Arabidopsis thaliana: one gene and its partner. The protein of the gene in region 2 interacts with the protein of the main gene of each other region in a pairwise test. Each region holds a gene or a part of one and is shown on either strand. Other genes may lie near its edges. The genes, in order: PUB9 and RK2.

The links.
Region 1: the proteins of RK2 (region 2) and PUB9 interact in a two-hybrid assay, tested with the Arabidopsis thaliana proteins (one study listed by BioGRID).

What each region holds. Positions count from the first base shown.
Region 1 is NC_003074.8:2,352,786-2,357,522, reverse strand, and holds PUB9 (plant U-box 9), read right to left. Parts: upstream 2,884-4,737; 5' UTR 2,640-2,883; coding exon 2,349-2,639; exon of another isoform or gene 2,002-2,348; coding exon 910-2,001; 3' UTR 658-909; downstream 1-657. UniProt on the Arabidopsis thaliana protein: Functions as an E3 ubiquitin ligase. May be involved in the abscisic acid-mediated signaling pathway, at least during germination.
Region 2 is NC_003070.9:24,471,029-24,477,574, forward strand, and holds RK2 (receptor kinase 2), read left to right. Parts: upstream 1-1,844; 5' UTR 1,845-2,137; coding exon 2,138-3,428; intron 3,429-3,797; coding exon 3,798-3,932; intron 3,933-4,025; coding exon 4,026-4,216; intron 4,217-4,292; coding exon 4,293-4,503; coding exon of another isoform or gene 4,504-4,508; exon of another isoform or gene 4,509-4,588; coding exon 4,589-4,826; intron 4,827-4,929; coding exon 4,930-5,080; intron 5,081-5,168; coding exon 5,169-5,495; 3' UTR 5,496-5,859; downstream 5,860-6,546. Other genes in the region: RK1 (receptor kinase 1), read left to right, coding at 1-22, 99-309, 395-632, 736-886, 975-1,301; AT1G65810 (P-loop containing nucleoside triphosphate hydrolases superfamily protein), read right to left, coding at 6,015-6,096, 6,170-6,304, 6,386-6,546.

The DNA of each region.
Region 1 (4,737 bases), on a different chromosome or scaffold from region 2:
CTTCTTGGGGATAAAAAGTTAAAAAGAAAGCATCAAATTCTTTCTTTTCTTGGCTTTTCTGTGAAAGTTTGGTGAGGAATAACACCAAAGAGTGGTTTAGGACGAATCCATATTCTATCCTCTCTATTAAATATTCCATTTTTTCAACTTTCTCACGATATGTTGACCTGTAATTATTACGAATCACGAGTTTTAGCAATTTCGTGATTCAATTCTAACTTCCAAGCAATCCAACCAACCAAATACATGTGATTTTTATCATTACTTACATGCTTCTTGCCTTGTCTAGAACATTTTTTAGAAATATATTACAAAACTACTCCGTTATGTTTTCTAACAAAACTTATAATTCATCAGTGATAGTCGAAATTTATTTATAAGCTTTGATGAGTATTTATTTATATATAAATAAACTTAAAAGTACTGTTTTTTTCTAACACGACAATAGGAATCACATCGTCACGTTACATTACATAGAGAAAAAATCACATCAATGGAAAACTCGTGACTCTGTAATAAACTCTTTTTCCAGAGAGAGTGGAATTAGATTGATTTGCTTTGTGGTTTATCAGTGATGTGAGGAACACGACATGACAGCCTTTCTATGTATTTTTAATAATCTACTTATTTATACACAGAAACAGACGAAAAGCTACACACTGTTACTTGTTGACCAAGGCTTTCACAGCTGAATAAAGCCACCAACATTGATTTTATTGATTGATTTCTCCAGAAACATCAAACGCAAAAACTATTCACACAGATTTCTACTTACATCTCACATACGAAAACCAATAACCATTCAGATCCTAAAGATATGAATAATTTACAAAAATTCTTACAGCCAAATAAAGTAAAAAAAAGAAACAAGATTTTAGGTAATTTACATTGCAGATTTCAAGGCTTTTCTCAGGCTGTATGAGTGAGATTCATAGCTTTTCTCAGTCTGTCCAATATCCCGTTTGCTTTCCTCTGCGCCCTTGAAGTTCCTTCACGCGAAAGCTTTGTTATCGTTCCATGAGCATTCTCCTCTTCTTTGATCTCCTTCCACTTTGTCCTGTCGCTGAAACATATAGTATGCAGTATCACTATCGCATTCTCTTTGTTTCGCTTGCACTCGCTCTCTCGAGTTATCTTCAGCAACCATGAAACCCCACCGAGCTCACCCAATTCCTCCACAGCCTTCCAGTGAGTAACAAGCATTGCCAATATAGCTAAAAGCTCATCAACGTACAACCCATTCGAGATTTTCTTACCTAAAACCCTAACAGCTCCGTCTCTCACAGCTCTACTCCTGTTCTCATGGGCTATACAAAGAGTGAAGATCGCTGCAGCTACGTCTTTGATAGCTAATGGATTCCCTTCTTCTAGGAGATCGATAAGCGGTTTCAGGATTCCGGACTTCCCTATAAGTACTTTGTTTGAATCGAGAGCTGACAGAGTGAAGATCGCTGCAGCTGCATTGCTTCTCGTGGCGACTGTTCCACGCCTCAATGCATCGATAAGGAGAGGAATCACATTAGGATTTTCGCAGACGAGCTTCTTGTTGCTGTCATCATGTATTGATATGTTCAACAATGTTGTAACCACATCTTCTTGAAGCTTCTCATCTGGGTTTGACCCGTGTAACAAGGGATTCACCAACCTGGTGATCTCATCCGGAGATTCGCCAAAAAGAGCTCGGAACTCAGTGCCTTTCCTGGTCAGAAGTCTTAGCTCCTTGGCAGCTGATTTTTGATCTTGAAGGTTCGAAGAAGAGACTTTACAGAGCAAGGAATTGAAAATCTCACGATCTGATCTTGTCACAGTTTCATCTTCATTTACAAGGTTGGGATGATATTGGCTCTTCGTCTCAAGCCCGTTCTTCTTGCACCATTTCGAGATCATTTCACGGATTAAGAGATTAGGTGTTAAAGCCGTGTGAGGCAGAACTTGCTGAGTCTTGGGACATGTTCTGTTCCCTGAGCTCAACCATTTCTGGATAAATAACTTGTCGTATGTCTGCAAAATCACACACAAATATATAAATTTTTAGTTATATGCTTTCCAGATTTATTAAACAAGCTAAGGAACACATAATTATCCTCTAAAAATCACTTTTTTCATTTACATGATAAAATCTCCAGATTTCATCGTTTCGAAAATCATTACCGAAACTACCGACAAAACAAGAACTTTATGAAACCTGAGTCGGATTCTCTCAGTCGGGTCGAGAAAACAGATGAAAAAGTTTCAAGCCAATCAAAATTCCCCCAAAAATCCAAAATTTTCAGTCACCTAACACAGAAACAGCAAAATTCAAAACCCTAGAAGAAGAAGAATTGAATCGAAATGCGACGTTCACAAACCTGACCAGAAGCCAAAACGACGGGATCCCTCATAAGCTCATTAGAGAGAGGACAACGAAACTCCTCAGGACAAGACACAGTCTCGAGCATCTCTAACGAGGAAGATTTCGCCATCTTCCTCATCGTCGCTTCTCTCAACGCAGACAAAGCGTCCTGTAACTGATCAATCGTCTGAACACCCAAATCATCTTCGTCATCGATCTTAATCAGCAACTTCTTCATCTCACGCTTCAGTTCCTTGGCTTTAGCAATCGCCGTCGGATCCGAATCGAAAACACCGGTCTTCGCCATCGCCGTCGGTTCCACCCGCCGGTATTCACCAAACCCTTCTTCTCTCAGATGATACGTATGTCCAAATTTTTGAATTGATTTTCTCACATTAATTAATTTTATTTATTTATTTTCTGTGTGTTTGTGAAAGAGAGAGTAATAAATATGAGGAAGAGAGAAGAAGAGGCACAAGTGTTGTTGTTGTACTCTAGTGCTTCACTATAATAGAATTGTGGCCTGCACCGAATTTGCCACGTCATTATTTAGGAGTATTTACTAATTAATTCGACCAAAATTAAGAATTTAATAATGCAGCACGTATGACCTACCTCGCGACTAAGGTGTCAAAATACAGCCGACACGATTTGTCTCGTAGACTCATACACGTTTACTTATTTTTTTGGGTATAAATCCATACACGTTATTGGTAATTTAGCTAGTTATAACTTAATAGTAATTGATCGGCCTAATGGTTTTCATCTTTCCCTTGTGTTTGGTTTTGGGAGTTCGAAACCTCAATACATTGTTTTGTAACTAAGAGATTTTAAACGACGAAAGAGCTATTTGGAGAGTTTGTCAAGCCAAAACAAATATTCCCAAAAGTTTGTGAAAAAAACAGAAAATGTTTCAAAGGTTTACGAATTACGATGATCAAACTCAAATCTTTAAGACACCGAACCCATAACTATTATTTTATCCACTAAATTACTATTATTGGTTTATTGCGAGTATTCGAATTTGGTTCCTTACTTATGATGATTTTATTATTCAGTTATTAGACCATAACAGCTTTATATAATCGATCATTGTTTGATTCGTGTTTTTTTTTTGTCAATTGATCACTCCATTACCATCATTGTTTGAATTGTTGACCCAAAGAAACAGAGTAAGGAAATTTATAAAAGTAATCTCAATAACTCAAACGTCGTAGGAGGTTGTAATCAAAAAACAAAATCATCTCTAACGAAAAATGTAACATTAGTGTGGTAAACCAAAAAAAATTCCAAAGACGGTAACGGCGGCGAAAATTAGAAGATGTGCGAGAGGAGTGAGTGTAATGAAAGTGGGACCCGCACAGTTATTCCAACATGGGAACAGCTGTCTTTCCGCGTGGATTCTGTTGTACTCCTCTTCACTCTCTCTCTCTATTTCTTCTTTGACGTTTTTACCCCTGCCGTTTTTCACTCTTTCTTTTTCTTCTTTTTATTTTTGTTCTAAACGTTTTAAAAACAAAATTGTATTAAAAAAAAAAAAGCAACCAAGTGTTATTATAGCTTTCGACGCGTGATTGGATGAATTAAGAGAGTTGACCAAATCTATAACATTCAAAAAAACCAAAAAAATGTAACCGGAAGATTTTGTTTTATAATTAACTTCTTTATCAAGATTTGGTTTTCACCTTTTAGTAACATTCTGTAGACAATAATATTAAACAAGATGACACATCACTCCATGTCTGAAACAAATTTAAAAGGTGAAAACGACTTCTTCCACCAAAACATGAAATTTTGAAAATATGTTTTAATTCCAACAAATGTTTTAACTAAACCAAGTTATATATATTGGCCACGGAATTTGTCTTGGCACTTTGTCTACATTGTTAATTGTTAGAACTTCAAACTAAAATTATTAGTACATTTATTGAATTTGTTTAAATTTGTATGGATTTTTTTTATAAAAAAAAATACTATTGTACTTCGGTTTATTTAACCACCATCCATAAGAGTGGGTGATCGATGTTCATATACAACGATACAAAGTGTTGAGGTTAGAATAGTGTCAACTCAATTCTCAAATTTGAAGTTGTTAGTAGACCAACTATTATTGAGTGGCATTTTGAAATAGACACGTGTATGAATAATATCTATTATTTCTGAGAAGTGGGCACCACTCATCTGCAAACACAGAAGAGAATCTCACAAGTGCCAAGCTGGACTGCTGATAAAAAATCAGTTTACGTAGGACCACCCTCTAACCCACGTGTCCCTTTCTAATGCCCTCGTTATCTTCGAACTGTCGTTTTTTTTCTCTGCTTGCTAGACATCTCTGCTTTCTCAAATTATTATCTTTGTTTCTGTTTTTTTTTCCTTTAAGTTTTGATTGTGTGATAATAACACTC
Region 2 (6,546 bases):
TGGATTCGGAATTGTTTACAAGGTAAAAGTGATTCAAAACATATTGAAAATCTACCACAGCACATGGTTTCATTGTATAATCACATGTGTGGTAATAGGGAAGATTACTTGACGGAAAAGAAATTGCGGTAAAGAGACTATCGAAAATGTCCTCACAAGGGACCGATGAGTTCATGAACGAGGTTAGATTAATTGCAAAGCTTCAGCACATAAACCTTGTCCGGCTTCTAGGTTGTTGCGTCGATAAGGGTGAGAAGATGTTGATCTATGAGTACTTGGAGAATTTAAGCCTTGACTCGCATCTCTTTGGTTAGTGACTCAAACAGCTTCTGTTCTAATAATTGAACATTTTTGTGAAAACGTTAACTTGTTGTTGGTTGTGTTGGATGTGTAGACCAAACACGAAGCTCTAACTTAAATTGGCAAAAGAGATTTGATATTATCAATGGTATTGCTAGAGGACTTCTATATCTTCACCAAGATTCACGGTGTAGGATTATCCATAGAGACTTGAAAGCAAGTAACGTATTGCTTGATAAAAATATGACTCCAAAGATCTCGGATTTCGGTATGGCGAGGATCTTTGGACGGGAGGAGACAGAGGCTAATACAAGGAGGGTGGTCGGAACTTAGTAAGCAATCATTCTTCAACAAAACAAAAAAAGAGCTTTTATCTCAAGTCCAAATATTTTCTTAAAAACCTCATAACATATGAGTTTATATTTTGTTATGCAGCGGCTACATGTCTCCAGAATATGCAATGGACGGGATATTCTCGATGAAGTCGGATGTTTTCAGCTTTGGGGTCTTGCTTCTAGAGATTATAAGTGGAAAAAGAAACAAAGGATTCTACAACTCAAACCGTGATCTTAATCTCCTCGGTTTTGTAAGCTAAAAACCTCTTCAATTCGATATTGTTTTGCATTCATAATCTGATTATAACACTAAAGAAATATTACATCCTTTATGCACAGGTGTGGAGGCATTGGAAGGAAGGAAACGAGCTAGAGATTGTAGATCCGATCAACATCGATTCTTTGTCATCAAAGTTCCCGACACATGAAATCTTAAGATGTATACAAATTGGTCTCTTGTGTGTTCAAGAACGAGCCGAAGACAGACCAGTGATGTCCTCGGTAATGGTGATGCTTGGAAGCGAAACTACCGCTATTCCTCAGCCTAAACGTCCTGGATTTTGCATTGGTAGAAGTCCTCTTGAGGCTGATTCTTCTTCAAGTACACAGCGCGACGATGAATGTACAGTGAACCAAATCACTCTCTCGGTCATTGACGCTCGGTAATTTGTAACTTACGGCCCAATCTGTTTACATGCATATCATTTTATAGGTAAGTCTAAATAGATTTTATTACTACATATATGATTCGATATCTTGCTCTATCTAATTTAATTTAGACAAAAGATTCACCACATGTTTCACATGATTTTGATTTAGAGCGAGAATTATAAAAAAAAAACATTTAGACAAAGACAAAAAAATGCAAGATTTGGAGTTGTCACTCCAAGATTTGAAGTTTGAGACCGAAACTCAATTAAGTGGGAATTCAGTAATGATTAATATTCACTTTTTGTACATACTACTGATAATAGACCAATACTGGAAGCGAACATAGGACTTTATGGCTATTACAACAGAGGACTTTATGAAACAAATCGAATATATACCTTAAACTTTTATGAATTCATCGGTGAAGCATTCTCTTGCATATAACATTTAGTATGTCGCCAGCAACATTGAAATTTTGTCTATTCTCGTACACACACACACAAATGGTTGAGGATATTATTTTTTTGGAGTAAACGAAGAAAAGTCAGTTACTAGGAAATTACAAAACCATAATTATCAATTTAACGACTTTTAAGGTCATTGACTCAATTCTATAGTGACATAGTCTATAGATATTTCAAAAGCGAACAAGAAGACCAAGAAAATGTAGCTGAAAATGAAATATTATCAACAATAGAGAGAAATCGTGTAAATGACGTTCACACATTTCAACACCAAACATGTCGTAATCTCCGAAGATAAAAATTCTCAATTATATGTACATAAAATTTTCATAAGAAGAAAATAAAACAGAACACAAGAAAGTGTCCTAGCTAGAGAGAGAGAGAGAGATGAGAAATGTACCAAACTATCATCATTCTTACTTCATATTATTCATCATAATTCTGTTTCTTGCTTTCTCTGTTTATGCAAGCAACTTTTCAGCCACAGAATCTCTCACTATCTCAAGCAACAAAACCATTATATCTCCTAGTCAAATCTTCGAGCTCGGTTTCTTCAATCCCGACTCAAGTTCACGTTGGTATCTCGGCATATGGTACAAGATAATCCCTATAAGAACCTACGTATGGGTTGCAAACAGAGACAATCCTCTCTCTAGTTCCAACGGAACTCTCAAAATATCCGACAATAACCTCGTCATTTTCGATCAGTCCGATAGGCCTGTTTGGTCGACGAATATAACCGGAGGAGATGTGAGATCACCAGTGGCTGCAGAGCTTCTTGATTACGGTAATTTTGTTCTTAGAGACTCCAAAAATAATAAACCAAGTGGATTTTTGTGGCAGAGTTTCGATTTCCCGACAGATACTTTACTATCGGATATGAAAATGGGATGGGATAACAAAAGCGGAGGATTCAACAGAATCTTGAGATCTTGGAAAACCACAGATGATCCGTCAAGCGGAGATTTCTCGACTAAACTCCGAACCAGCGGGTTCCCGGAGTTTTACATATACAACAAAGAGTCCATAACGTACAGGAGCGGTCCATGGCTCGGAAATCGGTTTAGCAGCGTACCGGGGATGAAACCAGTTGATTACATAGACAACAGTTTCACAGAGAATAATCAACAAGTTGTTTACTCATACCGAGTCAACAAAACCAACATTTACTCGATATTAAGCCTAAGCTCCACGGGACTATTACAACGATTAACTTGGATGGAGGCAGCACAGAGTTGGAAACAGTTATGGTACTCACCAAAGGACCTATGTGATAACTACAAAGAGTGTGGGAATTACGGTTATTGCGATGCGAACACTTCACCTATTTGTAATTGTATCAAAGGGTTTGAGCCAATGAATGAGCAAGCGGCTTTGAGAGATGATTCTGTTGGTTGCGTGAGGAAGACGAAGCTAAGCTGTGACGGTAGAGATGGGTTTGTGCGGTTGAAGAAGATGAGACTGCCAGATACTACAGAGACAAGTGTGGACAAAGGAATTGGGTTGAAAGAATGTGAAGAGAGGTGCCTAAAGGGTTGTAATTGTACGGCGTTTGCTAATACGGATATTCGTAATGGCGGTTCAGGTTGTGTGATTTGGTCCGGAGGGCTGTTCGATATCCGAAATTATGCTAAGGGAGGTCAGGATCTTTACGTTAGAGTAGCTGCTGGTGATCTAGGTTAGTTTTTCTTTGCTCTTTTGGTTTTTATTTTATTGTTTAGTTGACTAATAGGTTCTAAGCCAAGGTCCGTAACATAACGGCTTGATCCACTAGGTCCGACCATATAAAGAGTATATGGTCCACAAAGTATCTTGTTGATGTTTGGTCAATTTTTTTAGTTTATTACTTGAAGATATACAAAATACTAGAATAACTTATATATCAAAAGATTAATATGGCTTAAGCTAGTTCCAATACCAAAAAATATATTAATTATTTTGTTTATGTTATTGAATAATATTTTATCAAAAATACGTAAGTACAACAAAGTATACTTTGGAGTTATTATTATGATTGAAGAAAATATATGCCTCGTCTTTATTGCAGAGGACAAGAGAATCAAAAGTAAAAAAATCATAGGTTCGAGTATTGGAGTGAGCATTTTGCTTCTTTTAAGTTTCATCATCTTCCATTTTTGGAAAAGGAAGCAGAAGCGATCAATAACAATTCAAACACCTATTGGTAAATCAACAGCTTTCATTTCCTTTATTTTTACTTCAATTTTTGATAATTAAATGTCTTAATTGTTTTTTTCTGTGTGTCTAAATGAAACAGTTGATCTTGTGAGAAGCCAAGATTCTCTAATGAACGAATTGGTAAAAGCAAGCAGGAGTTACACATCCAAAGAAAACAAAACCGATTATCTAGAGCTCCCATTGATGGAGTGGAAAGCTTTAGCCATGGCAACAAACAATTTTTCGACGGACAATAAGCTTGGACAAGGTGGTTTTGGTATTGTTTACAAGGTAAACATGACTCATAACTTGTTGAAAATCTATCACTGGCAATGGTTTCATTGAATAATCAAATGTGTGGTAATAGGGAATGTTACTTGATGGAAAAGAAATCGCGGTAAAGAGACTATCGAAAATGTCTTCACAAGGGACCGATGAGTTCATGAACGAGGTTAGATTAATTGCAAAGCTTCAGCACATAAACCTTGTCCGGCTTCTAGGTTGTTGCGTCGATAAGGGTGAGAAGATGTTGATCTATGAGTACTTGGAGAATCTAAGCCTTGACTCGCATCTCTTTGGTTAGTGACTCAAACAGCTTCTGTTCTAATAATTGAACATCTTTGTGAAAACGTTAACTTGTTGTTGGTTGTGTTGGATGTGTAGACCAAACACGAAGCTCTAACTTAAATTGGCAAAAGAGATTTGATATTATCAATGGTATTGCTAGAGGACTTCTATATCTTCACCAAGATTCACGGTGTAGGATTATCCATAGAGACTTGAAAGCAAGTAACGTATTGCTTGATAAAAATATGACTCCAAAGATCTCCGATTTTGGGATGGCGAGGATCTTTGGACGGGAGGAGACAGAGGCTAATACAAGGAGGGTGGTCGGAACTTAGTAAGCAATCATTCTTCAACAAAACAAAAAAAGAGCTTTTATCTCAAGTCCAAATATTTTCTTAAAAACCTCATAACATATGAGTTTATATTTTGTTATGCAGCGGCTACATGTCTCCAGAATATGCAATGGACGGGATATTCTCGATGAAGTCGGATGTTTTCAGCTTTGGGGTCTTGCTTCTAGAGATTATAAGTGGAAAAAGAAACAAAGGATTCTACAACTCAAACCGTGATCTTAATCTCCTTGGTTTTGTAAGCTAAATACCTCTTCAATTCGATATTGTTTTGCATTCATAATCTGATTATAACGCTAAAGAAATATTACATCCTTTATGCACAGGTGTGGAGGCATTGGAAGGAAGGAAAAGAGCTAGAGATTGTAGATCCGATCAACATCGATGCTTTGTCATCAGAATTCCCGACACATGAAATCTTAAGATGTATACAAATTGGTCTCTTGTGTGTTCAAGAACGAGCCGAAGACAGACCAGTGATGTCCTCGGTAATGGTGATGCTTGGAAGCGAAACTACGGCTATTCCTCAGCCTAAACGTCCTGGTTTTTGCGTGGGGAGAAGTTCTCTTGAGGTTGATTCTTCGTCAAGTACACAGCGAGACGATGAATGTACAGTGAACCAAGTCACTCTCTCGGTCATTGACGCTCGGTAATATGTAAGATTGTAAGTTATCGACCCACTCTTTTTATATAAAAATATAGACACAGGGCAGTAAGGTCTCCACACTAGGGGCTGATACTTTGCATCAGTCAGTGATACCTTGTGTAACAAGTTTCCTTTGCCTCCATGGAACGTATACAAAAGTTGTATTCAACTTCGTTGTAAATATAATTAAGATAAAAAGAAAAAACCAAAGAGGGTATAAACCCACAAGGATAGCTACAATTTCCGGAGATCCGGATGAGGAGGAAGCATGATACCAAGCTTGAGAATCCTTACAAAATCCCACTACTGCGATAGCATTATATTTATAGTGAAGAAAAATTGTGATCTAAGATGATACACATGTTCAGTGATCACTGATCAATGACCAATTTAAGTATGTCTGACAAATAGCAAAAGATAATAAGAGAAAAGTCACAAAAGGACGCAAAAGAAGCAGACACACAATGTTTTAAAAGACCAAAAGGAATACCAAATTGTCTGCTTTTGACAAAGAAACAGTCAAATTTCACTTAGGATCTTTGGGGTTAGATGTTGAAAGTTGAACCTTTCTTCTAATCTTCCACAGTTTCTTTAGCTTCACTTGTTTCCTGCAAAACAAATAAACAGAGAATATTACTGAAACTGCTTTGAAATCTCAAAGACTCATCAAATAAGCCTTACTTGATAGGTTTAGGACTCACAGTTTCCTCTTCCACAACACTGAGCAACGCAAATGATCTCGAAACATCGCTTACAATATCTTTCTTTGAACAAGAATTGGAATCAACCGGCCATTGCATTGGTACAACTAAATCACTGCATCATTGTGAAAACATAAAAACATAAATTTCTCATGTTTCAGATTAAATTAACACCACAAAAATTTAACTAACTCACCCTTGAGAGCATATGTATCGACACCGACTTATCTTGCCTTTCGTGTATCGCCTGTAATGTTTCTCTAGATGTTCTGTAACACGAGAAACATCAGTAGATGGCAAAACCTGCCAGATCTTCAAAACTTGTACATGTTGATTATTATTCTTGAAAATATCTAT